4 linked regions of the Arabidopsis thaliana genome follow. The protein of the gene in region 3 interacts with the protein of the main gene of each other region in a pairwise test. Each region holds a gene or a part of one and is shown on either strand. Other genes may lie near its edges.

Region 1 (7,336 bases), on a different chromosome or scaffold from region 3:
ACTACAACTTCAAAATGTTACCGGATAAATTAGTTTCAATTTTCGACGATATGTAGCATAGTGTGGTTAATTATATTGACGAAACCTTTGTATTGATTGCAATTATAAGTGTAAATTTTGGCAAGTTGATGTGTAAGCTCCTTCGTGGATCCAACAAATAATTAACAGCTATGGCCGATGGCGTTGATGAGTGGTCGCTTCTTTAGTCATAGCGGTCAGACAATTCAACTTCATTTTATTTTATTTATTTATTTTGCCATCATTCAACTTCATTTCTTGGATGAAACAAATTCAACATTCAAAATTTTTTTTTTTTTAATATATATATAAATTATAGATATTCCATTATACTTTAGTTTCCATTGAAACCACTATTTGATGGATGATTCTTCATTTATTCTTGTCGACCAAATTAAACTTCTAATGGTTTTAGGTCTGATTAGTATTTCTTTCAAAAACAATTTTCTTTTAAGAGAAAAGGTCATATTACTAAGGAATAGCAAAGAACTAAAACTAATAAAACAACTAGCTCTAAGCGTTTTTTTGTGCATCACTATAACAAGAGACGTGCACTTTTAATTAGTAGTTTAGTACTATATAAAACCCTATTACTTGTGTGGATTTCGACCAACCTATAACAAACAACGTTTCGGTATAATTTTAAGAAGAATATATCACAACAACAATGTCATCATTATATTTTGCTATCCTTTGCCTCTTCATGATTTTCCTCGTTCCTTTACATGAATGTAAGTACATACATTTTTGCATGCATATAACTCATCATCTACCATCGCAATTATAGTTAGTTTTAACTCCTATTTTCTCTTTTGTTATAGTTGGAAACGCACAAGGTTCTGAGGCGGAGCTGCAATTAGATCCATCAATGTGTCTGCGTGTCGAATGTGCAAAACACAGAAATCAAAAATGGTGTTTTTGCTGTGCCGGACTACCGAGGACCTGTTTTCTTGATAAACGAGGCTGTACGTCTGTCTGCAAGCGCGAATCTCCTTCAATGGCTTAAGAAACTTGAAGAACCCATATCTACAATTTACTAATTACGTTTAAATTTCTCTTGATATATGAATAAATATAAGTTTATGGAAAGGAAACAATTACGATTATGCTTATCGTAATTTAACATATTTTTTTTTATTTTTTTTTATGTTTATGGTAATTGTGTTACCATTGCAATTTGCATGTCTACGAATTCGTCTTGCATTGGTAATCCAATATTCCATGTGATGCTTTTCTTTCTAACTGAAGGTATTCGTGAAAACGAATTCAAGATTGTGGGAGATAATTAGGGTTTCGTCAAAAGCATGAATTAGGAAAATTTGGGATTGATTTTTTGAATTTGGGAAAAGTCCTAATTTTAATTCGATCAAAGCTTAAATGATGTCGTTTTGGGCTGACTAACGAAGTCGTTAACAGGTGCCAACGAGTGTTAAAAATCTGTTATCGCTTGATAACTCTTTGGTTTTTTAGTCTAATCAACACATTCTCATGTTTCAAACAGTTAATCAACATATTGTTCATGTTAAAAAATTAACACATGTGAAATTGATATATAAAAATATCATATATTTTCAAAAGTTGGATCATTAAATAAAATTTTTCCCTATTTTTGAAATAATTCTAAAACAGTATTAAAGATATTTCCTGAAATTGTTTGCATGTGATCGGTTTTGGACCGAAACTAAAAAACTTAGAAACTATATTAACTTTGAGTTGTCGAGATGAAGATGTGAAATAGAAATATAGGATCAATGGTTAGAATTTTGGCAAATGTATGAAGGTGTGTTTGATTGAATATTCCAAGTCCTTTGCCTTTTGGAATTGGCATAACTACTACAACAAAGTTTTGATAGGTTTTCCGAATTCTTTAAACTCCTTAAATTTTTAATACATCTCAATCAAACTCCACTTATACTAAAAATAATCCATATTGCATTTTTAAAAATTCTAAAAGAAGAATCACATGATAACTTGATAAGCACTTTTAAATGATAGATGTCCACGTAGAGGAATAAGACAAAAAGACAAAATAAAGAAAAAGGACGAAATCTAAAGAGAGAAAATAAGTAACAAGTCCAAGAAAAGGTAGTATGATCTTTCTCGGTCCGATCCTCGAAACTCCCTCGAAGGCTCGAACCCTCTCTTTGTTTTTTTACCACTATATAAGAAAGTCCGATTCCTCGTCACTCTTATTCCCACTTCCACACATACACATATACAACAGAGCAAGAGAGTCAATCAAGTAGAGTGAAGATGGCAACTAAACAAGAAGCTTTAGCCATCGATTTCATAAGCCAACACCTTCTCACAGACTTTGTTTCCATGGAAACTGATCACCCATCTCTTTTTACCAACCAACTTCACAACTTTCACTCAGAAACAGGCCCTAGAACCATCACCAACCAATCCCCTAAACCGAATTCGACTCTTAACCAGCGTAAACCGCCCTTACCGAATCTATCCGTCTCGAGAACGGTTTCAACAAAGACAGAGAAAGAGGAAGAAGAGAGGCACTACAGGGGAGTGAGACGAAGACCGTGGGGAAAATACGCGGCGGAGATTAGGGATCCGAACAAAAAGGGTTGTAGGATCTGGCTTGGGACTTACGACACTGCCGTGGAAGCTGGAAGAGCTTATGACCAAGCGGCGTTTCAATTACGTGGAAGAAAAGCAATCTTGAATTTCCCTCTCGATGTTAGGGTTACGTCAGAAACTTGTTCTGGGGAAGGAGTTATCGGATTAGGGAAACGAAAGCGAGATAAGGGTTCTCCGCCGGAAGAGGAGAAGGCGGCTAGGGTTAAAGTGGAGGAAGAAGAGAGTAATACGTCGGAGACGACGGAGGCTGAGGTTGAGCCGGTGGTACCATTGACGCCGTCAAGTTGGATGGGGTTTTGGGATGTGGGAGCAGGAGATGGTATTTTCAGTATTCCTCCGTTATCTCCGACGTCTCCCAACTTTTCCGTTATCTCCGTCACTTAAAACTTCGGAAAAGTCAACGTACGATGACGTTTTCACTTGCGTCACTCTCATGATTTCATTTATTCTTGTATAATATAAAGGTAGCGGTAGTGTGCAAATATCAAATAAGTAGTTTAATTAGTACCAATCATTTTATTCATTATTTTTTTTAGTAGAATATTTGGATGTTGAAAATATAAATTTAATTTTGTATTTGTTGATGTTATAAATTTATTGATTGTATAAACATTCTTAGTCATCAGTTTCGTTAAGTCCATATCTAAACACTTCATATCTGCTAAATAGTCAATAGATTATAAAATTGGATCAGGAAAAAGTAAATCGGAGCTATAAAAAAATAGTGTGCAACGAAAAGACAATTAATTAGTTAAAAATACATACAAATCTAAACAAATTCAAAATTTCAATAGTGGAAAACACCAATCAAATGGATAATGCTGTCGAAGATTATCTACAAAGCATCAATAAAAGTAAATAATTAATATTATCTTACATGCTATTATAAAAGATTATGAGATTAGGAGTATAATTGTCAAGCAACTGAGCAAGAGGGTAAGGTTTGGTTATTATATATGTGGAGCCCTATACGAAGTTATGTAGAAACAAAGAAATATCAAGTTGCTTCAAATCATATCCTAGCAAGACAACCCTACAAGACAAGCAATTTGATGAATTTGTCTCTCCTTTTTATTCGAGTGAAAGTCATTATCTTCTTATCTTTTTACTCGAATGTGAATATGCAAAATATCTTTTGATATTTAAGAGCTTACCTAGTGAGTCATTACTACTACGAAAATCATATATCAATCTTATCATAAAACTTTTAAGATAAAAAAAAAAAAGAAAAAACTTTTGAGAGATTGGCTTTTAAAGACTTAAGTTACGATTATAAACACTAGTAGTTCAAGTCTTTTTGGTTTTGGTTTGTGTTATGTTTTAGATTTAAAATTTCAAATGAACCTACGTCCTTAACCAACTCAATCAAAATTCTAGTTAAAAAAAATAATCACCATTTTGTTAGCATTCAGCTTAGGATTCGAACCATGGGTAGCTCAAGGTATTTTAAACTCTAGAGGAATAAAATGGATGTTAGTGAAATTTGTCAGCATCATAGACAAGATCAAGTTGGCACAACTTGAAGGGTCCTGACAAAATATCTTAAGTTGCCTCCATAAATGTTTAATGGATAAGACTTGGCCCCACAGAGTTAAACCAGAGAGACACAGAGAGAGACTTTTGACACCTCACCCATGGCTGCGTTAACACATGTTTAGGATTCCTTTCTTTATATAGCCAACAATATCATCAAAACTTTTTCTTCAAACACCACTTGCAGTTTTTCTTATTCTCCTGTCTTGTCTAAAGAAAAAAGAGAGAGGAAGAAATGGAGACTTTTGAGGAAAGCTCTGATTTGGATGTTATACAGAAACATCTATTTGAAGACTTGATGATCCCTGATGGTTTCATTGAAGATTTTGTCTTTGATGATACTGCTTTTGTCTCCGGACTCTGGTCTCTAGAACCCTTTAACCCAGTTCCGAAACTGGAACCTAGTTCACCTGTTCTTGATCCAGATTCCTATGTCCAAGAGATTCTGCAAATGGAAGCAGAATCATCATCATCATCATCAACAACAACGTCACCTGAGGTTGAGACTGTCTCAAACCGGAAAAAAACAAAGAGGTTTGAAGAAACGAGACATTACAGAGGCGTGAGAAGGAGGCCATGGGGGAAATTTGCAGCAGAGATTCGAGATCCGGCAAAGAAAGGATCCAGGATTTGGTTAGGCACTTTTGAGAGTGATATTGATGCTGCAAGGGCTTACGACTATGCAGCTTTTAAGCTCAGGGGAAGAAAAGCTGTTCTCAACTTTCCTTTGGATGCCGGAAAGTATGATGCTCCGGTCAATTCATGCCGAAAAAGGAGGAGAACCGATGTACCACAGCCTCAAGGAACAACAACAAGTACTTCATCATCGTCATCAAACTAATGGGGGAATAGTGATGTTTAATTAGTATATATAGGTTAATATCTTAAGTATGTGAAGCATCATGTATAGAGCCAAGAACCTGTTAGACTAGTGTACTGAAAAGAACTCTTGCAAAATATGTACTAAAGAGTTCCTGTAACAATGGAACTTCTGCGTTTTCTCTTGTCTTAAAGAGCTTAAGGTTCTAGAAACAAAGTTCTTGTCCTTTCGGTTTATTCAGAGTACACTATTTGGGAAGACAAGAGGACCTAAATCTATCGACTACATTTATTTATTAATCTACTGTGATACTTAAAATCGAATTTCTACCTGAAAGACCTTAACATAAGCCTTAAAGTTTCTCCAATGACACAAACAGTACCGTACAGTGGCTTCAGTATTCACTATTCGATATCACTGAGGTATTAATTAGTTCACATGTCCAGAAAGCGTGAATCAGTGAATTGAGTAGAAAGATGAACAAGTTGCAAGAGGGACCAAGTTTAAAGAATATAGCAGCCAGAGTTTTGTCTCATGGTTGGGTACAAGTCAGCATTCATTTTTTAAATATGACAAAGAATTGGATGGACCACACGCAACAGCTCAAGAGGGGAGAGATGCACAAGTTGCAATATGGAAAAGTAAACAGAGGAAGATATGTATTAACATCTCAACCTCATCGTTGAGATGGATGTTGATTATTATTATTAGGAATAACTAAAACCAAAGAATTCTTATAAGTTATAACAATGAAATTACTTCATGGTTTTTTGATAAAGATATCTCCTATGCATATATATCTAGTATACATTTGGAACAGTTGATGAATATCAACTGACCTGTTTCTTAGATAGAAGAGATCTTCATGTTATCGATCTTTTCTTGAGTTTCCATGTCGATCACATTCTGCAATGCTCCTTCACCAGTCAAGAAACTCGGTTGATTTGTCGATGCAAGGAGTCTAGCCCACATCCTATCAGTTAACTTCACCGTATTTGTCACTTCCGTCACCTGCTGCAGAAGTAAAAAATCATGGGATTAACTTTAACCACAAAGGTTTAGGACTCAATGATTTTAGTCTAAGAATGATTAGAGAAGTAAAAGAGAAAAGCTTACAGAAATTGGGATGTAAGCATGTCTACTGTTAACTGGTCCTACAGTGAAACCTGAGTACCCAGCCATTGCTCCATGAACTGCACTTTGGGCAAGAAGAGTGCAATAGACATTGTCTGATGCGTTACTCGGTATTGCTCTTATCATATACGTTGGGTCTGTTCAACAAGTACATGTCAATGAAATGCACAGAAGAGTGTTAACTGTTGTTAACAAGATAGAGACAGTGAGTCTGAAGATATACCTATGTACTTCATATTTATCATCATTTTCCGAACATTTGTAAAGTGATCCTGCAACATAGTGGTCACAAGATTCATCTTGAATGTTTGAGGGAAAACATATAGAAACCATTTTCTTAACTTTCGAGTTTCGACCAATACCTTTATCTGTTGAGTCAACCATAGACCAACATCAAGCAAGAGTCTATTTCCTGAGGCGTCTTTAGTTTCAGATGCACGCATGCTTTGAGCAACATAATCCTGTCCAGCTCCTTCAGCTATCACAATAACCATGTGCCTATTCTCTTTGAGTCGTTCTTCAATAAACTCAAAGAGCCCACCCTTTCCTTCAAGAAAAAATGGAGACTCTGGAATCAAGCAACAATCCTGTCACATTTCAAAGCTCCCATTGTTATACACCACAAATAAAGAAAGTTTATAGTGACAATTTAACAATCAAACTAATCTATTACCACATCACGATTCGCTAAAGTTGCAATCATGGCAATAAAACCTGCAGAATTTGTACCACAAGTTAACTTCGTATTCACAAAAGAAAGTAATCAACATATGTCACAGAATATTTACCACTGTATCTGCCCATGAGTTTAACGATACCAACTCCATTTTCCACGCTCTCGACCTCTACATGTGCAGCATTAATAGCTCGTTGTGCTTCCTCAACCGCCGTATCAAAGCCAAATGATTTGTCAATCACCTAGAACAATGGATGAAGAAGATGTATAAGAAACTCCACATGAGAGAAAAGTAGACCTTAAGTTGAAAATTATCAATGGGTATTTACAGCAATATCATTATCAATTGTCTTAGGAATGCCAGAAACCGCCACTTGAAGACCACGCCTCTCAACTTCCTTCACAAAATATGAAGCAAGTATCAGTAGAATTACTAATGCTACATTCAGCATTCAGTAATATGTGATATGAAATAACCTCGTATATCTTCTCTGCACCCTTTTGCGTCCCACCACCTCCAATAATATATACCTGACATACACATTGACAAAATATTAGGA
Region 2 (6,866 bases), on a different chromosome or scaffold from region 3:
GAGTATTTTAAGGCAAAATAAAATCATGAATCTTTTGGTATTTTTTGTTCTCATCTTCTTGTGGGGTTTTTCTATTGAAGTTTGCTTAGCTTTGAATCTTGTCTAATGGAGCTAACTCGATCCAAAATAAAAACACGTATAATGATTAACTAGTTCTGCTCATTAGATGAACTAAATTAATGAGTTAATTCCGTAGTTTCATGCATCCTACAATGTATTGTCTATGTATGGAAGCAAAGTATGATATCATATTTAAACATCTATGATTGTGCTACTAAACTTTAAATAATACTTTAAGCTGATGTGATCTTATATGGATAACCTCTGACCATTATCTACTTTCTTTGACCATTGCTCTTGTTTTCTAATCCAAAAGTCGTATCTTCCAATGCATTAGTTGGTCCAAACCTAGATTTGCATCCCTTAATTTGTAGTAGTTAACATCTAATTTTGATGTTAAAACCAAGACACCACTTTGTTTGTCTGGTCTGAGAATATCTCAAGGCGTATAGTTTTGTCCTTATGACGCTTGCAAAAGCAAGTTGTTGAGTTGTAATCTTATGTTTTTTTCTGCAACTTGCCTTGGATGAAGCCATGAGATTATCTTTATAAATGGTAGCAAGTAAACCGGTTTCTTATGTCGAAAAACCGATCATTTTTGTTTTGTTTGATGACAAGGAATGGAATACTCTAGAGACTCGGCAGAGATGATGATGGAGACTAAGCGCAATGTCTACTCGCTTGAAGATAACAAAATTAAACGACACAAGTCATCTGATCTCTCTTTCTCTTCCAAGGTCTTGTGATACATCAAAATCAAAATTCATTGTGGCTATGAAGCTACCGGACATTTCTGTACCAGCATGCTAATGATCTTGAAACTTTGTTGTTCTGTGGTTTAAACAGGAGAGGAAAGACAAATTAGCAGAACGTATTTCAGCTCTTCAACAACTAGTTTCCCCTTACGGAAAGGTACTACTTGGTCCGAAATAATCTTTCTTACACGCTCTTTGTCTTCTCTAGCCATGTTCAAGTCTCTATCTATGCAGACCGACACTGCATCAGTTCTTCTAGAGGGAATGCAATACATTCAGTTTCTTCAAGAACAAGTCAAGGTCTGCTCAAGTTTTCTAATCAAATACTTTTCATTCATTCACCTCCTCCAATCCAATGATGATTATGCTTGATTTTCTCTGTTCAGGTTCTAAGTGCTCCTTATCTGCAAGCAACCCCTTCTACTACAGAGGTGAGCTGAATCTATGATCTGGATCTCGTTTACTTGGATCACAATGCAAGACTGATATTTTCCATCTCTGTAACTAGGAGGAAGTGGAAGAGTACAGCTTAAGAAGTAAAGGGCTATGTCTTGTTCCATTGGAGTATACATCAGAAGTTGCTCAAACCAATGGTGCTGATATTTGGGCTCCTGTGAAGACTCCAACATCTTCTCATGCTTTTAATCTCTCGTCTTCTAATTCGCCCTTTCAATGAGCTGCTGCTAAATTCTCTGTCTCAAGACTAATGAAAATTAGCCAAAGCTTTGGTCTGATCATGTATTGATGGAGAGACCTTGAAGTCGGTGATGGCTGTTTCTGTTATTTTTTACTGCTTAATCCCAACTCTGTGGTGGCTTCTTGTAACAATTGATTCTAATGCGAAGTTTAACGGACCGGTCAATGACCGGAATTAGCTTCCTGTTTAATAAAGTTTGAATTGGTGAAAAAGAGTTAACCGGTTTAGAGAAACCCGGGAAACTTAACCCGACCCAAAATTGTCAAACCCGTTTTGTTTGCGGCTATTGAAGGATCTTCTATTGAAGAGAGCAGCTAGCTAAAACCCTAAAGCCCTAAAATCAAAATTACGCTAAACAGAGAAGGCGACAATGGATCACATCGCTGCGGCGGAAGAGCAAATCGTATCGGAGAGACTTCGAAGAAAGCTTGAAGAAGTTAATGTAGCTGCTCAGACTCAGCTTTCTCCTATCCAAGATCACATCAATTTCACCCTTCAGGTATATACAAAAATCTGTACTTTTCGCGAGCTCAGCATAAATTCTCTCTGATATAACAATTTAGCAATGTTAGCTTCTGAATATGGAATCTTTATTGGTTTGATACAATGCTAGTTTCAAATTTGATGAATTGAGTAGGTTCATGAAAAAAGTCTGAAAATTTGCATTTGGGTTCGTACTATATTCGTCTTTAGACACTATGGATTAGGTTCACGACAATTGCTCTGGTTTAATTACTATATTGTGCTCTGTAGGATATTCGATAAGTAGGCGTGTCTCGTTGCATAACAATTGCTCTGCTTTGTCTTCAGAAGCATGAGAGTTATTAACACCTTCTCTTGTGTTTTTGGGTTGCTATATTGAGTTATATGATCCGTTGATTCAAATTAATTAAACCCTGACAACGATATCATTGTTGCAGCAAGCTTATTTCAAATGTGCATATGAGTGCTTTGATAGAAGAAGAAAGCAAGAGGAGATAAGTAACTGCGTCGAGCACTGCAGTGTTCCCGTTGTCAAATCTCAACAGTATTTCGAGAACGAAATGGCTCAATTTCAGGTAAAGATATCTGCTAAAAGATGATACATAGTTTGCTGTGTATAAAGACTGATTTTTGTTGAATGAATGTATAGGAAAGATTGAACAGATCACTGGTGGTGTGTCAAGACAAGTTTGAGGCCTCAAAGCTCCAGAAGATAAGGCCTGAAGCGGTTAACGAGATGGAGAGTTGTGTGCACAAATCCATTGAGGAAAATCTCAATACATTACCACATATTGTGCAGAGAATGAAGACAGCATTTAACATAACCAACTAAAAGCTCTCGTGAAAAACCTTGGATTCCAGAACTTGACTAGCCATATTGTTTGAAAAGACCTTTTCTTTTGTCTTAATATGATCTACAAATTTGTTTTCCTTTTTCTTATATTAAGTTTTAAAATTTGCCACTGTTTTGGAATAACTGTATTTGCTTGTTCTTCATCTTCCCTAGCGAAAACTTTAAAACTCTATAAAAAAAAATTGAGGATAAATACATGAATTTAAAGATTGAACCGAACAAAAGAGACTAACCAATAGAATAGAAGCAAGTAATTTAGTGAATATCTAAAACTAATATAAAAATATATAGAGATTATCACTAACAAAAAAAAATAAAAAATAATAGAGAGTTATATATACCTTTGTTCGTTTGTGAAAGGAATTGACAATCAGAATCATATAAAAGCAAGACTATAAACTCCTCTCTGCCGCTTAACTCTTTCTTCTTGTCTCTCTATTTTTTATAACAATGGTGAGAGGAGATGATCAACTTAATGGTTTGCAGGGAGGGAAGAGAGCGTTAGATATTTTATGTGTAGCGACGGAGAGAACGGTTAGCGCTTTTGCATATGAGGAAATAGGAGAAACATCCACTGAAGGTGATAAAAGGAGGGAGAGACTGAGAAGACTGAGAAGATTAATTAATTACAGTCTGAGCACAACTATGAATTCCAGCTTGAGCAAACGACTGAAGATTGATGAGTGCAAGAATCAAGACCCGGAACAAAACCCTAATCGTGTTGCTTCTTCTCCAAGTTCGTGCCATCTAGAGTCCAAGAGGCCTCAAAAAGTGGTTTCAAACAAACCGGTAAGAAACAGAAAGCCGGTTATAGTGACAGATGAAGATAGGACACCGACGGAATGGCTGATTGACGTGATGAGAGAAGTGAACGGTATGGATGCAAAGCTGATATTTGTGAAGGTTCTTCCCAATAGTGATGTCGACGAACTTCAGACACGTCTTATGATGCCCTGGAAGCAGATACTAGATATGGACTTCTTAAACGAGGAAGAGTTAGAAAAAATAGATAGACATCACAAAAAGATTAGTGCCAGTGACAAAGGAGCGGATGTGATCGTGGTGAATTCTAAGGGTCTACAGAGGAAGCTTAAGCTCAAGAGATGGGATATGACTTCCACTTCCAACTACGTCTTAGGTTTAGGATGGAACAAGGTCGTCACCGATAACATTCTACAGAGAGGCACTAGGCTTCGGATCTGGTCCTTCCACTCCCCAGACATGCTCTTTTTCGCCTTCGTTCTTTCAGATCCAGATCCAGCTCCGACTGAGTGCCTAAATTTATTGGCTAAATTGTGCGAGGAGACGACTTGTCTCGAGGCTTTACAAGAGGCAAATAGGATGAGCTCACTCGTCTCGGACACAGAGCTGGACCTCGAGCTCCGGTTGTAGTTAAGAGTTTCCAGCAGCAAAAAACAGCTCTTCTAGCTCTACTGCCGAGGTTTGCCATGCAAGTATTTTTTTTTCAGACACTCGATGTTGAGTTAAAGTTTGAATATGACTTGACAATTAAGTCATTAAATCCTAGAGAGATTAGGACTAGAAACTTTAGGAGATATCTAAACAATATTTATGAGTTATCTAAATATTAGTTCTATTAGGATTAGGATTAGGATTGTTTAAGAGATCTCTATATAAGGAGATACCAACATGTGGTATAACTTATGAGTTGAGAGTTTAAGTTTTGAGTAAATTTCTTAAACTAATAAAGAGAGTTATTCTTAAATCTTTGTGTTCTTGATCATCTCAAACTATATTCGAAGATGGCTTTTTTGGATTTTTGTCCTTTTTATCTAGGTGTTTTTTTTGGGTCTTTTAGCTCAATATACTGAGTGTTAGTGTTAACATTACGAGTTTGTTTTAGATTGTGCTGATTTTCATCCCTTATATAGTTCCTTTTTGTTTGAACGGATGATATTTGTTTTTGGCAAGTTTTCTTTCCCACTTGTAAGATCGGAACAAACCAGTCAATGACATAACGAAAGTCATATAAACTCGTAAGATCGGAAGTCGGAACACACCAATTATATATATAACGAAAGAATGTAGTAAACAGACAGTGACATGAATATATCTCACATAATCAATTCAGAAATAATATATAACTTTGACCCAATTGGTCCTCTAGGTAGACTGCAGTGACGTACCTATGAGCCACGATAAGAAGCCAAGCCATGTTCCTCTGCTGAGCTCTCTGAAGAATACTCAACTAGCTTTTTCCGTAGCTCAATATGTTCATGGCGAAGTTGTGCAAGAGGCAAATAGGAGGAGGCTCACTGGTCTCCGTCACAGAGCTGGACATCCATCTCCGGTTGTAACTAGAGATTCCAACCAAAACAGTTGTGCTATGTGACTAATCTCTGTTTATTGTAGACTCTTGCTCTATTGTCGTGGCATGCAAGTTTTTCATACTAAATAATCCTAGCGTAAAACATAGAAACTAGTTTGAGTGTTGGTTTCCCCGGACATAACTCCATCAAGACATGGTCTGCCGTATGATAGTGCATTCCTAACATGGATGGTAATTGGAGAAGAAATTCACACAATCCAGTCCAGGAATCACCTCACCAAAAAAGTTAGCAGACTCTTCTCTAGAAACTTTCCGCATCAAACAAAACAATTGTTTGGGAGTACTTTATGCTTCATGCCAAATATCCACTTTAAGAAAAAATGAATCAGATAACACAAACAACGAAGAAAGTAGACCAAAGGAAAAAATAATTGTTACCTTGTCAAAGAAAAGAACATACCCTTGTACCACATAATGTGCAAGATCAGATGCATTCAAGGAGCTAGAGGGATTTCCGCATATTCATGATATGCAACCTAACGAGCCTCCCCTGAGTTAACCATTGACTCACTCGGCCCCTTAGACATTGTTTGAAGCTCTTCTTCAACATAAGGTGGCCAAACTAAAGATGAAGACTTAGTCACAAGAGGCAAATACTGAAAAGGTGACATAAGATCTTGCCCTCTTCTTCTCCATTGCTTATTATTGCCTTCCCTATTTTCTTGAAAAATATTTAAAACGCAGGATAAAAAAAAGTCTGCAAACAAATCGACATTAGCTTGAAGAGAAAGAAACTCATTTTATTTGTTTCCCAAAGTCAAACAAGAGAACACGTTCATTTACTCTGCCAGGTAGTGGAAAACAACGTGTAGTCGGTATGCTCTGGTTAGAAAACGGCACGTAGTTTCTTCGAACTTGAACCGAATAAATATACCGGCTTATGCCGGATTGAAATGTGGTTTTAGTATATCTTTCTGGTTTAATAATGGCTTCCTTGTGATTTTGATTGACAAGGGAAACTCTGTAGAGAAAAGAAAAAATCTCGACTTCGCAAATTGCGAGAGACATTGAGTCCAAGACCGAGTTAACTCGCCAGATTCAATGTAAAGTTTTACTTTTGTCGCCTAATTTGTGTTATTTAGGTTATTCTGTTGAAAACCCTATATATAGATTCGTGTATTCTGTTTTCCACATCTTGCATCTTCGTTGATTCGTGGTTTAACAATTTGGATGCAGAACCATGGCTGGGGTTATGCAGAAGTTCCTTATTGCATCAATGTTTATGTGGATTCTTCCTATTGCAATATTATATGGATTCAACAATGATTTGCTTCCTGGTAAGGCTAAAATTTCCAGGTTTGACTTATGTATGAGGACATCTGTGTCATTGCTCTAATTGTATTGATGGTTCTAACTTTGAGTTTTGCTTAATCGTGTAAACTCTGTAGTTGAAGTTTTAGTGGAACTTGGTTTAGTAGAATAGCTGGTTGTTGGGATCTGATGGCAGATTAGAGAAATTCTGATTGTAACTTTTTAGAAACTGCAAACTTCTTTGATTAGAACTTAGTTTGTAGGTATCATAGAAACTAGTTGGAGCTGGAATGCTACAAGAGGTTATTCTATGGTTGTAACCTTACTTCTTGTAACAAAGGCAGTTTAGTCTTTGACGCGTAGTTCATGTAATGAAGTTTGATCATCTACACATGTGATAGCCTGTTAGTCGGTTAC
Region 3 (8,081 bases):
TATCTTATTGAATCAAATTTGAACCATACATTTACTTTGGCACAATTGAATATAATATTTAAATGTACTGTGGAAATTTCGGCTTTCATCGCAATTCGTAGATAATAGAGGGTTTAGGAGCAGAAAAAGACAGAAGGGTACTGGTTCGGTTCCGACATAATCTGATAGTCAAGAGGAGATTTATATCATAAAAATACTATTTTATAGTAAACGCATGAAACTGTAGGAAACAAAACAATCTCCTAATGTGTAATAATGTGTCCGTACGTGAAACTGCAAGCTAGTCCAAATTTTATTATCTTTTCTTAATTGTCAGAAATCCTAGATTTTAATGTTTTGCTAACACCATTTTCGTAACTCTATGTGATCATTAAGAACAAGTACTATATTCCACATTAAGTAAAGTTACAGAAATAAACAAAATATCACGATTTCGATAGCGACAACAAAACTATAGAAATAGTTAAATACATCACCAAAATCCTTATCCCGTCGTGTCGCTAGCGTTCCCATTAATATTATATTGATTACTTAACGTCTTGGGAGACTGAACAAGATAACTCCACACAAGGTCTCACGTGGTCCCCTCACACTCTCTCAACACACGTGTCGTACACTTAATGGGTTTCTTCGACACGTGTCGTAGTCGGAGTGACGAGGATGCACAACTAGCTGAAAAGTCCGACCTATTGAAAAGTCTATAATGCCCCCATTCGGTCGCTGCCTAAGCCGGTAGGGGCCGGTCTAAGATTACGTGGCAGAGCCACGGTCCTTGGTCGCAATACTCTCTCTTGTATACATGTATTGTTGTTGGCAAGGACTAAAATAGCAAAGGTTTTATCCAAAAGTATAAGATTAGAAATAATGCGATTTCTTGTTTCCTTTACTTCATTTCTGTTCAAAGATTTAGACAGAAATGCAACAAATATATGTTGTGGTGGCCTTCACAACTTACAAGTGAGACTCCGATATTATTTTGAGATATTGTTTCTATTTTTTTCGGTAACTACTAACTTAGGACAAGCACACATTCACAGTCGTTTATCATAAATTCTTTGTGTAACTACTTATTCTAGAAAACCAAACTACAGTGAAAAAACTATATATACTGAAAATATGTGATTACCGCCTTATATAAATTATTTTTGATGTTAACATTTTCGTAAAATAAAATTTGTAGTGATCCTAAACAAGATAATTTGAAATTCTAGTTTTCGACTCCGAGAAATTATGAACCAAGCTCGGAACTTTTTTGGTAAAAGTAAAAAGTTGTGATGCTTTAAGTGTGAAAACCTAGTGAAAAGAAGAAAACGTAAATTTGTGGGATACCTAAAAAGCTACAGAAAACGATTTTTGTGTTTACGAAATGGCATAATTAAAACATTATTATAACTAATGAAATTTTATAAGCAATAACAGTTTGCCAATTATTCGATTCCGTGGATTAGTAGAGAGTTTAAAATATGATGTTGAATAATTTTGAGCGATCAGAAAAAGGAATGAACACCCGTCTCTTAACGGTGAGAGAGAATCGCAGCCTTTCGGATTCCACACGGCTCTTATTTTCCTCTATCCACTTGCTCACTTTTTAAACCGCATAATAATATTCTTTAGCGTATACTATTATAATATTCTTCTTGATTACGTCAAACTACAACAAATCAATCAATAGTATTGAAAAATATGTCTCAGTGTCACTCTTACGACTTTTATACAAACCATGTAACCATGACGACATGACTTCAGTTACACATTACCATATAAAACAGTTCATGAAAGGATTAGACTACACTAACATTTGTTTTAGATGAATGTCACAAAATGGTGATATAGACTAAATATAGTAGTCACTAGTCATTAGACAACGCATAAACTTTATAATATATCATTCACCTTGATATTATTATTGTATGAACAAAAATTTAATGTACACATTACATTACAACACAAGACAAAGCCATGCCTTTTAAACAAACTAAACATCAAACACTTCCACTATAAAACCTAATTCTTCTATACTTATAAAAAATGTATTTATGTATGTGTTCTAATTATTTCACCTTTATCTTTTAGAAAAACTATAAAAAGAAATAATACACATTTACAACATTATGACTACATCCTAAATTTCACCCCAAGTTATACATTGTATTATACCATTATCTATATATATATATATATAATTAATTACTATGGGGTTGGAAATTTAGTAATTATCTTTTCTTAGAACGGAGCACGGTGAGGGACACCCTTTCGTCTGCTTGAATTCCGGTGATTATAGATCGGAGGTGTTCCCGGAGAGAAACTAAAACCACCTTCATCACCAGAGCTTGAAGACCTTTGATCACCATTGGGACCGTAGTCATCGAATCTAACGGTTGAGATCGAGAGACCACTCATCAGACGGTTGAAAGCATTGGTCTTACGCATCTTAGTCGGTGTAGTAGCTTCATCTGATTCCGACCCACCAAGGTACTCTCTCCCATGCTTTCCTTTCAAAGAGAAGGTTAGAGATAAATCTCCTCTCCTCATTCCTCCAAGCTAAACAGAACAAAAAACAACCAAAGGACAATATCGTTATTTCCACAAATAACATTACAAAAACAGAGCATATCCACATGAATCACGAACAAAACTAAACAAAACCGGATAAAATTTGATATAGATATCATTAAGAAGTGAAATGCGTTAATGGGTTTTAAGAAAGTTTACATTTTTGTTAAAACCATATGAATTGTTTCAAACAAAAATGGTGAAAACAGGGGAAAAAACAGAGGGAGAGTCTTTTTGTGTTATACCTTGCAGCCGAGAGAGCAGAACCTGAAAGAATCAAGGAGACTTCTGCAACAGATTTCACAAGTGTTTGTAACACCTTTACCGATTCTAGGCTGAGGTCTTTCATTGAGGAACACGATCTTTGCGCTGTTGATAATATATGTCTGAACACAAGCGATGTCTATGAACTTCTGTATCTCATTCACTCTCACAACGTTATGGTACGAAGATCTTCGTATCTGCAAATTTTGATTCTTTTCATTAACATTACAATTAAAAAACCGAGAGATTGAGGAGGAGAAAAAGAAGAAGAAGAGATATTGAACCTGAACAACACGATGGTCTTTATGTTTGACTAAACAGTAAGAGCAAAAGGCATTTCCAGCACAATCAAGACAGAACAAATTGCATTCGTTTTTGTTTGAATCGACATGGATGGAACAAGGGACGAAGTAACTCCCTCGTAGCATTGGCATTAGCCACGGTGGACTTGTATAGTCTTCTTCTTCCTCTGTTCTTATCATTGGTCCCTGAACAAAACGAAACCAAATCAGAATCTGGAGAAGATTGATAGCAAGGTAAAAACAAACAAAAAGAATTAAAAATAAGACTCACCATGACTTTCTTGTGATTGGCCTTGAAGGCCCCGAAGTTGAGTTTGTGATTGTGGTTTTCGATAGCCAGATTTGCGAGCTCCAGTGTGTAGCAAAACCTTTACGAGAAGAAGGTAGAAGAAGAAGAAGGAAGAGGAAGAGGTAAGTGAAAGCGGCGGCTGAAAGAGAGAAAATAAAGGGTTTTATTTTTATTTGAAGGCGGTCACGATAAGTTTATGCGGTTTATATTTCATACGAATTTCATTTTAAAATATTTTTAGAGTTATTTTTGTTTATTATTAAAGGTATCTTTTTTGTTTGTTCCTAAATTATATTTTTCTGACTCCTTTATTTGGGAAAATCAATTTGTTTTCTTCTTTATGTAATTTGGGAAAATCATTATCTCGTTTTTTTTTTTTGAAGTCCTCCAAAAACACACGTATCTTGAATATGCGTGTCTGTCCAGTGTGCATCTAGAAGACCTAAAAGGAAAGTCTTAAAAGGTTAAAAATAAAAGGTGAAAATGCGATATTATTGTTCAAATATGGTCATAAATAATTACGTTTCGACATAGAAAAAAATAGCATACTAATTTTTCAGCTTACGAATGATATAATGATTGATATATTTTCATATCATCATATGTATAATAAGCGGACAAACACATATGTGGATGTCAAATCTAGTTAAGCATTGAGAGTGATACAACAAGAATAAAGGAACTCCCACACTTGAATTTGTAAAAGTCAAATATGAAAATAAAAATTAATTATGGTCAGAATTAGAGAGACAAATAGTATTATCCTAATTCTTTGTTTTTCGTAAAATTTAAATCCGAAAATTGAAGAGATAAGCAAAAAAGAGAGAAGAGGTGGCGATAGCTGAAAAGCCAAGACAGATCGACGGGTATGAGAAGAGACAGAAGCGAGACTAGTCTTGTTAAATCGTGAGCCGTTGGATGATGAGAAGAGCCTTCTCGTATTATCCTTTTTCGTGGGACGTGTCGGAAGCTTTTACGGTTTTACCCCCTCCTCCGATTGACACTTCACACTCGTGGAGAACTCTGAGCCGTCAAGATGATAGTTAGAGTGGGACTCACTTTGAGTCATAGGTCAACGTTCAGCTGCCACGTTACTTAACGTGATCCAAGAAACAATAAATGGAGTTCGTTTGTAGTTCAAAGTTAAAAACAAATTATTAAACTTTTAGAAGTAGAGAGACTAGAGTTGTTTTTGTAAATTTGTGTGTGTGTGTGTGTATCGTTTTTAACCTGATAGATTCTCTGGTAAAAAGTCAAATCCTGTAGTCTTAGAGAATCTCCTTTGTACTTGGACGTTGTTAAAGCAAAAAAAGTAAGCAATTCGAAATGTACGAGTGTGTCATGTACTGAACAAATAAAACATTTTAAAAAATTCAAAATGTTGATTACGAGTGTGTCATGTACTGAACTAATAAACATTTTCCAAATACGGTGAGATTTGATATTGAATATTGTGAATATTAAACAACTAATAGAGTGTAAAACATAGATATTAGCTTTTGATGTCGAAAGCAATTAAAGATACTAATTAAGGAGATAGACATGTAAAAAGAGAAGTGTGATCCACGTCATGAAAAAATTATGTGACCACTAATAGTTAACAATGTAATTGGAAATCCGACCAAAGAAAGTGAGCATAGAACGGCGATGAGGAAAGTGGAAGAAACATCTTTTTAATTTGTATTCTTATCTCTTTCAAATTGGCAAAAAAGAAGCAAAAGAGAAGAGGCGTTTAAACAGTAGAACGCACGTGCCTCACGTGACCTTTGTGCACCGTTTGACCACGTGAGTCGTCAGAAAAACGAGGGTTGTCTTAGTAGAAGCCAAACATGCAAGTTTTAAGAACTAAATCATGCATGAAGTCGGAAAATGAAAATCTACCCGATATCTAAACCACTTCTTATAGAATTGGTCCTATAAAAATGGACGGTAACCTAAAAATCAAATTTGAATGGTAGCTAAACTAGTTAAATCTATAAACATGCTTTGGACGAGTCGGATCATCAGTTGAGACTTGCGAGGTTAAAACTACATTCTCTCTATTTATTGGTATACAATCCGAAAAATGTTTTGAGTTTTTGTCTATAGTTTTTTAAGATAAAAACTAAAACACATTATGTTTTTCTTTCCGTTTCATTTTCTAAGTTTGGGAATGCGGACAAATGGAACCGAACCTTACCGGATTATCATTGGGTACGATTAGGTGTGGCGGGTCCACTACAGTCTACTTTTTTAATCATCACCCAAATGTTATATATTTTTTAACGAAGATTAATGAGCAATTTGGATGACCAACAAAAAGTGCAATTTGCAGCACGATGGAAAGGATTTGAACCCTTTTTTTTTTTTTAATTCTTTTTAATCAATTTGGGTGCTTCACTCTCTTTTGCAACTTGCTTCTGGTGGCAAAGAAGAGCCAATGGAAAAACATGTTTGGCCCTTAATTAATTACACGCTTCCAAAACAAAAGAAGTCCTTAAACTTAGAAAATTACAATATTGATTACTTTGTGGTTTGATTTAGATTAGAGCTGAACGTCGTGATGATACTTAGATTAGATACGCATATATAACTCGGCGATTCACTTTTTACAATGAACTATTTTATAAAAATCTAGGATGCAGATGAATTAATATATTCAATAAAATCTTATCAATTCTTAATAACAAAAAGATTAAATATTTGCTTACTCTTAATTGACTTTAAAAAAAGGGTAACAAAATTATGTTTAAGCTATCTCTCATGATTTTATTTGTTTTGACAACACAAAAACAACACACAAATAATATGGAGATAGAAAGATATTAACTCACAAATATAAAACTATTAAGAAAGTCAGGAAAAGATATCGAGTTTTTCATGCATTAAACAATTTCACTAACAAACACGTTTATATATATGGTACAATAGAAACAAGAAAAACTCTAGGTTTTGTTAAAAGAAATAAGTTCGAGTAATTAACCCTAATAGTATAACCCAAGTGTAACGAACTTTAAATTTGAAGTAACAATTTTTTTTTTTGTTTGTAGAATTATCCACAAGCATACATACGAATAGTAAACCACGCATAGCCATTAGAGTAGTGATATGGTCGACTAACCCTCCGAAATGGTGAGGAGTTGTATGGAAGTTACTTATCAATTCGAAATTGTCATCCGAAAATTTAAAAGGACTCTTCGTATAAGGGTAAAGACAAGGAGCAAAAAAGTAAAGACAAGAAGGTGAATGAATGATATAATCTCAGAGAAATGAATAAACTATGAATACGCATGAAGATACGATCGACATCATTCATCGGAGTTAGGTCCTCGATTTCGGGAAGGAGCTTTTCAAAGGAACCAAACCAAGTATACGGACAAAGATTACGCTATAAAAGTATTTAGCCGACAAGAGTCACTATCCTACGTGTCTCTTTAACAGTACTAGGATCAATCCAGGTTCATCGATCCCTATTTTACATATAACGAACGTAAAATAATTCGTATTTACGAAACTGCCATCTTCGTCTAATGAGTTTATTACTTTATTTGATCCGTATGGGCTAATACGAGCTAGCTACATCCGTCTGGGTCATGTATTGTGTAATGACATATTATGGGCTTTACAAACCAAATTAAGCGTTCTTCCAAGCCCAATTGAACCTGCCTCAGGCCCTCAACCTCAACTCTCTCTGAAAGGGCACTTTTGTGAGTTAGTTTTTTTTTTTTCTTTTTTCTTGGTGTGAATTTTGCGAGTTAGTTTGATCTACATGTACTTGATAAATGAAGATAAAACAGGATTAAAAAAGTTTATATGTAACACATCCGTCAGAAAATTATAATAGACACCAAAACTCTCGAAGGTGCAGAAACAAAAGCAGCTAGAGAGTATAATCTGATGATCATAAATTCATAATTAGGACTTAGGAGCAGAACCAAATTAAACGAAAAGAATCTGAAGTAAAGAAAACCAAAAACATTTCCTGTAAGACTTGAATTATACTTTAACCGAACTAATCGAATCGAACTGCACTGTAATGTTAACTGAAATATCCGTATTTCTAAATAACCAAAAACGTGCATGCATGTGTGAATTGCATACGGTAATTTTTTTTTTTTTCTTTTCTTTCAAATTCACATAACTCATCGTCATCTATATGTCCTCTCTAATAGATTTAACACCTTAATTACCTAGAATTTGGACTCTTACTTTTCTATAACGTCACACCGAACCAAAATGAAATAACTTCAGTTATATTTTTATTAAACCAGAATAACCTAACCAAAAGAAAACGAAATGTTCATTTCTAAGCATATCTAGACAGATCTATCCTCAAGAATTCATTATCAGAACAATATGTATGAGAATACAGAGAAACTACTGTTACTATGGCTAATATATAAATATTCTCATATTCGCTTTCTTTATATATCTATACGTGTTTCATTTTTGTCTAATGGAGAAAGTAATTGTCGAGAAAGAATGATTAATCCAATGATGACTAATCTAGAGATGAAATGACAGTGTGGAATAACTTGTGGAATTGAACAAAGTTAAACAATTGGCTAGATCAAGACTTATAGTCAAGTTTTGATGTGTTTTAATTGAGTGAGAATCTTTCTCATAGTGTCAGTCCTCTGTTGTTCGTTGATGCTCTTCTCCTCCCCTTACAGCGCATACACAGCAGAAAGTTT
Region 4 (8,116 bases), about 20 Mb from region 3:
CTCGACATCAAGCGGTTCAGTTACAGGTTGGATCCTGTTAATTTCAGCTGTCTTAGCTTTGCAGACTTTCCATGTCTGACCGAGCTAAAGCTGATAAACTTAAACATTGAAGACATCCCTGAAGACATATGTCAGTTGCAGCTCCTAGAGACACTGGACCTCGGTGGAAATGATTTCGTGTATCTACCCACATCCATGGGACAACTTGCCATGTTAAAGTACCTCAGCCTCAGTAACTGTCGCAGACTTAAGGCACTGCCACAACTTTCTCAGGTGGAGAGACTCGTACTTTCTGGCTGTGTGAAGCTCGGATCATTGATGGGAATTCTTGGTGCAGGCAGATACAATTTGCTTGATTTTTGCGTTGAAAAATGCAAGAGTCTTGGATCATTGATGGGAATTCTTAGTGTGGAAAAATCAGCTCCAGGCAGAAACGAGTTGCTTGAGCTTAGCCTTGAAAACTGTAAGAGTCTTGTGTCATTATCAGAGGAGCTTAGTCATTTCACCAAGTTAACATATCTAGATCTCAGCAGCCTCGAGTTTAGGAGAATCCCAACAAGCATCAGAGAGTTATCCTTTATGAGAACTCTCTACCTCAACAACTGCAACAAAATCTTTTCACTGACAGATCTTCCAGAGAGCCTCAAGTATCTCTATGCACATGGGTGCGAATCTCTGGAGCATGTTAACTTCTCTTCGAATCATTCTTTCAACCACTTGGACTTTAGCCATTGCATCAGTCTAGAATGTATTAGCGATCTGGTTCGTGACTTTATGAACGAGGAATATTCTCAAGAGGTAAGGCTCTCTTCTCTATAATCTGTTCCCTTTAACCCCCTCATAAGCTATATTTTTAAGTTGTGACTTGATTGATTCTCATTTTGCACGTAGGCTCCATTTCGACTTGTTTGTATAACGAAATACTCAATTGCTTCTACCAACAATATGCGAACCTCATGGAGGGAACCTATGAGGATCAAACTACCTAAGATTAAAGCTGCCCCCAAGCTTGTGGGATTCTTTGTCCAAATCATGGTTGTTTGCGAAAAGCCCTTCCATCTACAGTTTCCAGCGTTTTCTTATAATTGGGACTGTGAAGGTAGCAGGTTATATCGGATTAACCTCAAACCAAATCTCTATCAATCATCAGAGATGATGGAGGACAACAATAATAGACCATATAAATGGCATCACCTGGTCATTGTCCAAATCCCAACTGGCATCATCAGCGCAGAAATTGATGAGGTGCAATTCGAATCCCATATCCAAGTTCCGGAGCCGGGCGACGAGATAATTTTGTGTGGAGTTGAACACGTTGGGTTCGTTTTAAAGTAGCTGGTGCGGAGATCAATTCTTAAGATGATGATGGATCTGCAGATTTCTAAACACAAGGATTTGTACCAATTTTCGTTTTGGAACTAAATAAATTACTACCCATGTAACCTCGTGTCGGTTTGCTTTTATAATCGGTTTGGTATTTTTCGGTTTAATTGTGACTTGATTTTATTTTTTTCCTTTTAAGAGAACCAATTTTTTCTTTCTGCTTTGTACTCGATGTCTGCCCTTTTTGCTCAACAAGCTTTACCAGATTGTATTCTGGTATTTCATCAGGCTAGAAATGGAGAAAGAAAAGTTGGAGCTGCCAAACCCACAGGAGTTGTGTTCTCACTGGAAATGTTACATTAAATATCATTGCAAAACAACTACTAATACATTGAATCTCCTTTGATTTTGGTCCAAAGAAAGGTGAATAACTTTTGATTTTGGTGCATATGGGATGATGACGGACTGATGAGTACCCAATATCCAGTGCCCACGTGTCCTAATTCTTATGGATCAATCAAGGGCTTAAAAGCCCATAAACATTAAACAGAGGGAATAAAGGAATGCTAAAAACTAATTAAGAAAACATCAAGTAACAATTATTATGTTTTGGTTGTTACTTGTTACTTCCAAGGATAAAGGAGGGATTCCTATGCTTGACTTGCACTAGAGCTTTATTTCATTGCAAAAAAGGTTAGGTACTTGATTAAGAACCCAACCTAAGTTTTAGTATTATACAATCCTTTTTCCCATCTCATTTTACATGCTTACACTTTCATTAAACTATTATACTCAAGGAAACTGGTTGCAGGTCTATAACTTGTAAATTAAAACTGTTCGTGTTATTTATTCCCATGATAAAATTGTAAGAGCGTGTGAATCACGAGCTTAGGAGAGCGTGTGAATCACGAGCTTAGGAGAGCGTGTGACATCAATATGGGGAGGGGCGGCTAAAGACTAACGAGTAAAGGCATAAGGGGGAAATTAAGGACTGTTCAGAGTTCAGAAATGTTTTTAGTCTGGAAACGACAATACACTTTGGACAAAAAGCTAAATAACATTTTAAAAGCTTCATACAAATTAAAAATATAATCAAACAAAAGCTAACGTGGCCAAGATAGCTAATTACTTTTTTGGAATCATTATTAGAGATAATGGAAATTAAGAAATCATACAGCCAAAACAAACCGTAGTTATTATATTCGTAACAAAAGATGGGGGAAAAGTTAATATAAAACAAACCTTATACTAGTATATATAATACATGGCTCATAATACATTACTGCTAAATGAGCAAAAACAAATAAAGGTAAAGTTCTTAACGGCTTTGTAGAGATAGGAATCATTAATTTTAGAGAAAAAAAAATCTTGAATTGTACGTTTACCTTTCCAGAATTACATTATTTGTTGGCTTTTAATTGTTAATCATTTTTGTTGTGTTTTTCCTCCAAATTATAAAATTTAAAAACTGTGTCAGGGAATTTAGGAATCTAATATAGTTGGACGATTTCGTATTAATAAAGATTTTCAAAAAAAGAGTCTGCTCTAATCGTTATTTGGGGGTAAATTGATTCTATAAGGTAGGGTTAGCCAGAGAGCCTTATTCTGTGTTTTGGGTTAAAGTGAGACCAAATAAATTAAGATATTTAAAATGAATAATTAAGAGCACTTAAGACAATAATTAACCCAGAAGGAGAAGCTGGTGTAGTGGTGGTTCTCATGGCGATGTTGGTTTCCCAGGAAAGGTAAAAGAGACGGAGACGAACCAAAACAAGGAAGAAAGAAGAAGATCTTACATACGAAGATCACTCTCTGATTCACTCTGAGAGACAAACTGGTTTACTTTGGTTCTGTTTGACAAAAGGAGACATGCAAAAATAAATCTCTATCCCTTGTTTTTCTTCTTCGCTTCATCGATTACTCAAAGAGGTTTCTTTCTCTATCTCTTATCTATTTCTTTCTGCATCTGTAGTCTCTTTGTTCGAAAAAAAGATGTTTAATTTCTGTCAAATTTTTCTCCTTTTTTCTTTGTTCGATTATTGGTGTATCTGTCTTGTGGCGTGCGATTGATGTTTACTGATTCTGAAAAATTCTTGCTAAAATAATTCATCTTCAAGTCAACGACTTTTTGCCCAAAAGTGATGACGGGAACAAGAAATTTTTCTTGGTCGGAAAATTACTAATTTTAGCCAATCGTAGCGATCTCTGCAATCGTGTTTTGGTTACCCAAGATAGTACGATCGAATCAGTTCGTTTAGAGAATTAAAAAATTACTCAAATTTAGAAACTTCCAACTTCTGTTTCTTTCTATTCTGGGTTTTTTCACCCACTTGGATTATTAGCTTTAAAAATCTAATCTTTGAGTCATTTTTGATTGTTATTTAGGTTGTTGGTTGTGAGAATAATTAGCTTGTTAAGGAAGACGTTATGATGCATCAGATGTTGAATAAGAAAGATTCAGCTACTCATTCCACTTTGCCATACCTTAATACTAGCATCTCTTGGGGAGTGGTTCCAACTGATTCCGTTGCTAATCGTCGCGGTTCTGCTGAATCACTAAGCTTGAAGGTTGATTCAAGACCTGGGCATATACAAACTACAAAGCAAATCAGTTTTCAGGACCAAGATTCATCTTCAACACAGTCCACTGGTCAATCTTATACTGAAGTTGCTAGTAGTGGTGATGATAATCCTTCCAGACAAATCTCCTTTTCGGCTAAATCAGGTTAGATTGTTGGTATATATATGTTTTACTTCTTGTGTCATTGACAAAAGAATCATCCTTTTGCCATAAAGAATGTTATCCTCTTTCTTACTTTCTCAGTTGTTTCTCTAGGATCTGAAATAACTCAACGGAAGGGGTTTGCAAGTAATCCTAAACAAGGCTCGATGACTGGATTTCCGAATATTCACTTTGCTCCTGCACAGGTATTTGTAACTCTATGAATACAGTAATCATAGCAAAGCTTTTGATTGTAGACTGATATCTTATGTTTATACATGGTTCAGGCTAATTTCTCATTTCACTATGCTGATCCACATTATGGTGGTTTATTAGCTGCAACTTACCTACCACAGGCACCAGTAAGTACACCCTTCGTTTCCAAGTGGGAGATTTACCTTTCAGTTTTATCTGTCCATCAGATCTCAAGTCTCTTAATCTCTTTTGCAGACATGCAATCCTCAAATGGTGAGTATGATTCCTGGTCGTGTTCCTTTACCAGCAGAGCTCACAGAAACTGATCCAGTCTTTGTCAATGCGAAGCAATACCACGCAATTATGAGGAGGAGACAGCAACGTGCTAAGCTTGAGGCTCAAAACAAACTAATCAGAGCCCGTAAGGTAGTTACCAAATTTTGGTTTATATTTTAAACAAACGCATACACGTAGAATTGCTTTGCTCATCTTTTCTTTTTCTTATTGCAACAGCCCTATCTTCATGAGTCTCGACATGTTCATGCTCTTAAAAGGCCAAGAGGATCTGGTGGAAGATTCCTAAACACCAAAAAACTTCTTCAAGAATCCGAACAGGCTGCTGCTAGAGAACAAGAACAGGACAAGTTAGGCCAACAGGTAAACAGAAAGACCAACATGTCTAGATTCGAAGCTCATATGCTGCAGAACAACAAAGACCGCAGCTCAACCACTTCTGGCTCAGACATCACCTCTGTTTCCGACGGTGCTGATATCTTTGGACACACTGAATTCCAGTTTTCAGGTTTCCCAACTCCGATAAACCGAGCCATGCTTGTTCATGGTCAGTCTAATGACATGCATGGAGGTGGAGACATGCACCATTTCTCTGTCCATATCTGAGACAGTGGATCTTGGTGCTGTGTTCATGTTCCCACCAAGAAGGGGAAGTCATCCTTGGCTACTACTAGTTCTTTCGCTTGTTGTAACTTCAGTGTTTTTATTTCATATTATGTCTGTGTTAGACATCACAAGAACGACCAAGATCTTCACTTTGAAACACTCTATTACCTTTTCATCTTCTGTTACCATGGATCTCTTGTCTAAACTAGTGATATGATTCTTCTGATAAACTTTCAATTCCTCTTTTGTTTTTTTCAGGATTTATATATGTTTGTTTTTGCTTCATTTGTGTCGGCAATGAAGAAGTCTCCTTATTCTGTTTGAAAATGGCGAAGAAAAATACAGATTCTGGTTCCACTCCATTGATTTCTGTGAAGAGACACATTCGGATTCTTGAAGTATTTTACAATTTAGTTGACAATGTTTAAGAAAACATTTAATGAAGAATCCAGTATATATTAGATTATGTCTTATTCTTGATACACTTCTTATAAATAAAGTAAAAAAGGTTGAAAGATTCTACTTTGAGTCTCATTTTATCTGTCTGAGAAGATGTCATACACTTGAAAATACTACCATTTCTTCCACACGTTCATGAATATTTTTTTCAAAATATCAAGGCAGTCTCTATGCATTATTTCCTATTTAAGATATAATATTTTGATAAGGTAAGAAGAAACGTAAAATACTGCTCCAAAACACGTTGACTTATGGGACAGATACACACACACTTGTGTCCCTCAAATACTAACAAATGATCATAATTTAACTTCTGTAAAGAAAAAGACAGCATTGTGAAATATATAAAGTCACAATCCTGTACATATCACTTTCGCAAGTGATTCATGAATTACTTCTAAATATAACATGTTGCCAAATCAAAGCTTGTCGTGTGTGCTTATTGATGTAAGACTGCAATTGCCAAATAAAGTCTTACAAGTCATCTTTTAACATTGCAACATATCATGTCGGTTTAGTAGCACGGTTATGGTGAACCGATACCTGGAAACTGAATTCAAGCCAATGTGGAAAGAACATTTATTTATTTAAAAACAACTGAATTTAACACATTCCTTACATATGACTGGAAACAAATGAAATAGCAGAAGAGCTAGATAAAGAACAAGATAAGTAAGAAAACTAGAGACATTTCCATAAAAGATTCTTCTATGTGGATTCCCAGTTGTTATCACTATGATTTAGAATAAAACCCGTCATGGTTCTTAGCAGAAAGCCGTTTCAAGAACTCGTAGGTAGTGATCATAGTTGTTGCAGACATTGACATTGAAGCACATCTTGGTCCCAATCCTCTATAACAAGCCGTCCATCCACCTTCTCTAACCAAGTTTCTTACAGTCTGTCCAATACTCGGTCCACGCTTCCCGTTGTTACTACTATCTTCCCCATCAAGAACCTGCAATCTCGTCTTGATTGTGTCGAGTGGCATTGTAATCAAAGCAGAAACACTTCCAGCAATCGCAGCACTAACTCCTTGAACAGCCATTATCGTTTTAGAATCTGGTTTCATCGTGGTACTATTGTTCCCGCTTTCTTCGTCTTTCTTACAGACATAACACCCAATTCCACCCCAAACCATCCGCTGTGCAACAGAGTAAGACGCCCACCAAACAGCATTAGACGGCGCATAAGTCAGAATCGATATCCCAAACCCTCTGTATAACCCCTTCGGTCCATCAGCGCGAACGATCTTTCTAAATGCATCAAACCCGTTAACATAATTACACCTTGATGCATTAACAAGACCAGCACTTCCTTGAACCATAAGCCTTTGGCTAACCACATCAACAGGAGTCCAAACAAGCTGTGCAGCCATCGCAGCACTCAAACCTCCAACCGCATTAGCAACAGCAGCAGCTTTAGCCTCTGTCAACCCCAAGCTGACAGCAGCAGAGCCTACGTTACTCTTAGTAACCTCCAAGGCAGTCATGTACAAAGCACGAGCAGGGATAGTTCCCATCAAAGAAGTTCCAAATCCTCTGTACAATCCCCTTAAACCTTCATGTCTCACAAGAGTAAACGCAGTTTTAATACAAGAACCTTGCGAATGACACACTTGTTGCCGAGTTTTCATCAAAACCGCAGGATAAAGAGCTCCAGATACCCCTGAAAACAAAGCAGCGCCTAAAACGAAAAACTTGGATTTATCAAGCATCTCCCAATTGATATCAGCTGGTAAATGAATCTCCTGAGCCGATTCTTCCTCGGCCGCACCCAAATTCATCTTCGCCACTTTCTAACCAACCCAGAGAAACACACACAAAAAAAAAAACTTTTTTAAACAAGGAACAAAAAATGTTCCTGAGATGTGTTTCAGAGCTCAATCTCTATCTGTACAACTTTTCCTAACCTCGCCGCAAATTTCTATTTACAATCGGAGACTGTAACCTATCCCCAGGATTAGAAAGACCAAAAATTTCTAAAAAAGACAAAACAAAAATTAGGATTCAACGAGAACGAAAGAGGAAAGATTTCAGAAGCCAAATCTCAAAGCAAGAGACGACGGCATTTTTTGCGTCTGTGGAACCACGTCTTCGATCCAAAACGATCACCAAAACCATGCGGATCTAACTCTAACAACAACATCTTCGAAAACAGAACCGATTAATCGACCTTACCGAAGAAACGATCATCCTCGCCGGTAAGCGATAAAGAAAAATCTAACCGCGAAACTCGTTTCCTTCGCCGGAGATATCCAATAAGCACCAATACAAGACCGATGTTAGAAGAGAGAGAGAGAGCTCAAAGAGAGTAATCGCGACGAGAGCACACGAAAATGAGACCTTATACAGTTATACTGTTACGAGCGAGTCTAGGGTTCCGGTTTTTTTCCCCCTGTAAATATACCAAATTGAGATACCGGTATAGATTATAAACCGGCTTGCATTTTCCGGTTCGATTAGCTGATTTCTCTATGTAACAAAATGCCATTTACAGTTTTCAAATTTACCGGTTAAA

Evidence for each region.
Region 1: the proteins of AT1G21000 (region 3) and AT5G61590 interact in a two-hybrid assay, tested with the Arabidopsis thaliana proteins (one large-scale study listed by BioGRID).
Region 2: the proteins of AT1G21000 (region 3) and AT2G31720 interact in a two-hybrid assay, tested with the Arabidopsis thaliana proteins (one large-scale study listed by BioGRID).
Region 4: the proteins of AT1G21000 (region 3) and NF-YA3 interact in a two-hybrid assay, tested with the Arabidopsis thaliana proteins (one large-scale study listed by BioGRID).

Annotation. Positions count from the first base shown.
Region 1 is NC_003076.8:24,762,304-24,769,639, reverse strand, and holds AT5G61590 (Integrase-type DNA-binding superfamily protein), read left to right. Parts: upstream 1-4,128; 5' UTR 4,129-4,381; coding exon 4,382-4,987; 3' UTR 4,988-5,384; downstream 5,385-7,336. Other genes in the region: AT5G61605 (EMBRYO SURROUNDING FACTOR-like protein), read left to right, coding at 686-749, 840-1,024; ERF104 (ethylene response factor 104), read left to right, coding at 2,272-2,997; PFK4 (phosphofructokinase 4), read right to left, coding at 5,813-5,980, 6,083-6,237, 6,324-6,372, 6,463-6,687, 6,774-6,814, 6,889-7,018, 7,106-7,174, 7,254-7,307.
Region 2 is NC_003071.7:13,482,408-13,489,273, reverse strand, and holds AT2G31720 (B3 domain protein (DUF313)), read left to right. Parts: upstream 1-3,298; coding exon 3,299-4,240; downstream 4,241-6,866. Other genes in the region: AT2G31730 (basic helix-loop-helix (bHLH) DNA-binding superfamily protein), read left to right, coding at 681-797, 907-972, 1,050-1,115, 1,202-1,246, 1,324-1,491; AT2G31725 (FAM136A-like protein (DUF842)), read left to right, coding at 1,883-2,011, 2,433-2,570, 2,645-2,827; AT2G31710 (Vacuolar ATPase assembly integral membrane protein VMA21-like domain-containing protein), read left to right, coding at 6,379-6,475.
Region 3 is NC_003070.9:7,333,231-7,341,311, reverse strand, and holds AT1G21000 (PLATZ transcription factor family protein), read right to left. Parts: upstream 3,708-8,081; 5' UTR 3,394-3,707; coding exon 3,391-3,393; exon of another isoform or gene 3,387-3,390; intron 3,306-3,386; coding exon 3,102-3,305; intron 3,015-3,101; coding exon 2,799-3,014; intron 2,542-2,798; coding exon 2,224-2,541; 3' UTR 1,860-2,223; downstream 1-1,859.
Region 4 is NC_003070.9:27,402,723-27,410,838, reverse strand, and holds NF-YA3 (nuclear factor Y, subunit A3), read left to right. Parts: upstream 1-3,298; 5' UTR 3,299-3,557; intron 3,558-3,708; 5' UTR 3,709-3,750; coding exon 3,751-4,048; intron 4,049-4,159; coding exon 4,160-4,251; intron 4,252-4,332; coding exon 4,333-4,407; intron 4,408-4,495; coding exon 4,496-4,669; intron 4,670-4,753; coding exon 4,754-5,140; 3' UTR 5,141-5,378; downstream 5,379-8,116. Other genes in the region: AT1G72840 (Disease resistance protein (TIR-NBS-LRR class)), read left to right, coding at 1-798, 892-1,335; AT1G72820 (Mitochondrial substrate carrier family protein), read right to left, coding at 6,333-7,382. UniProt on the Arabidopsis thaliana protein: Stimulates the transcription of various genes by recognizing and binding to a CCAAT motif in promoters.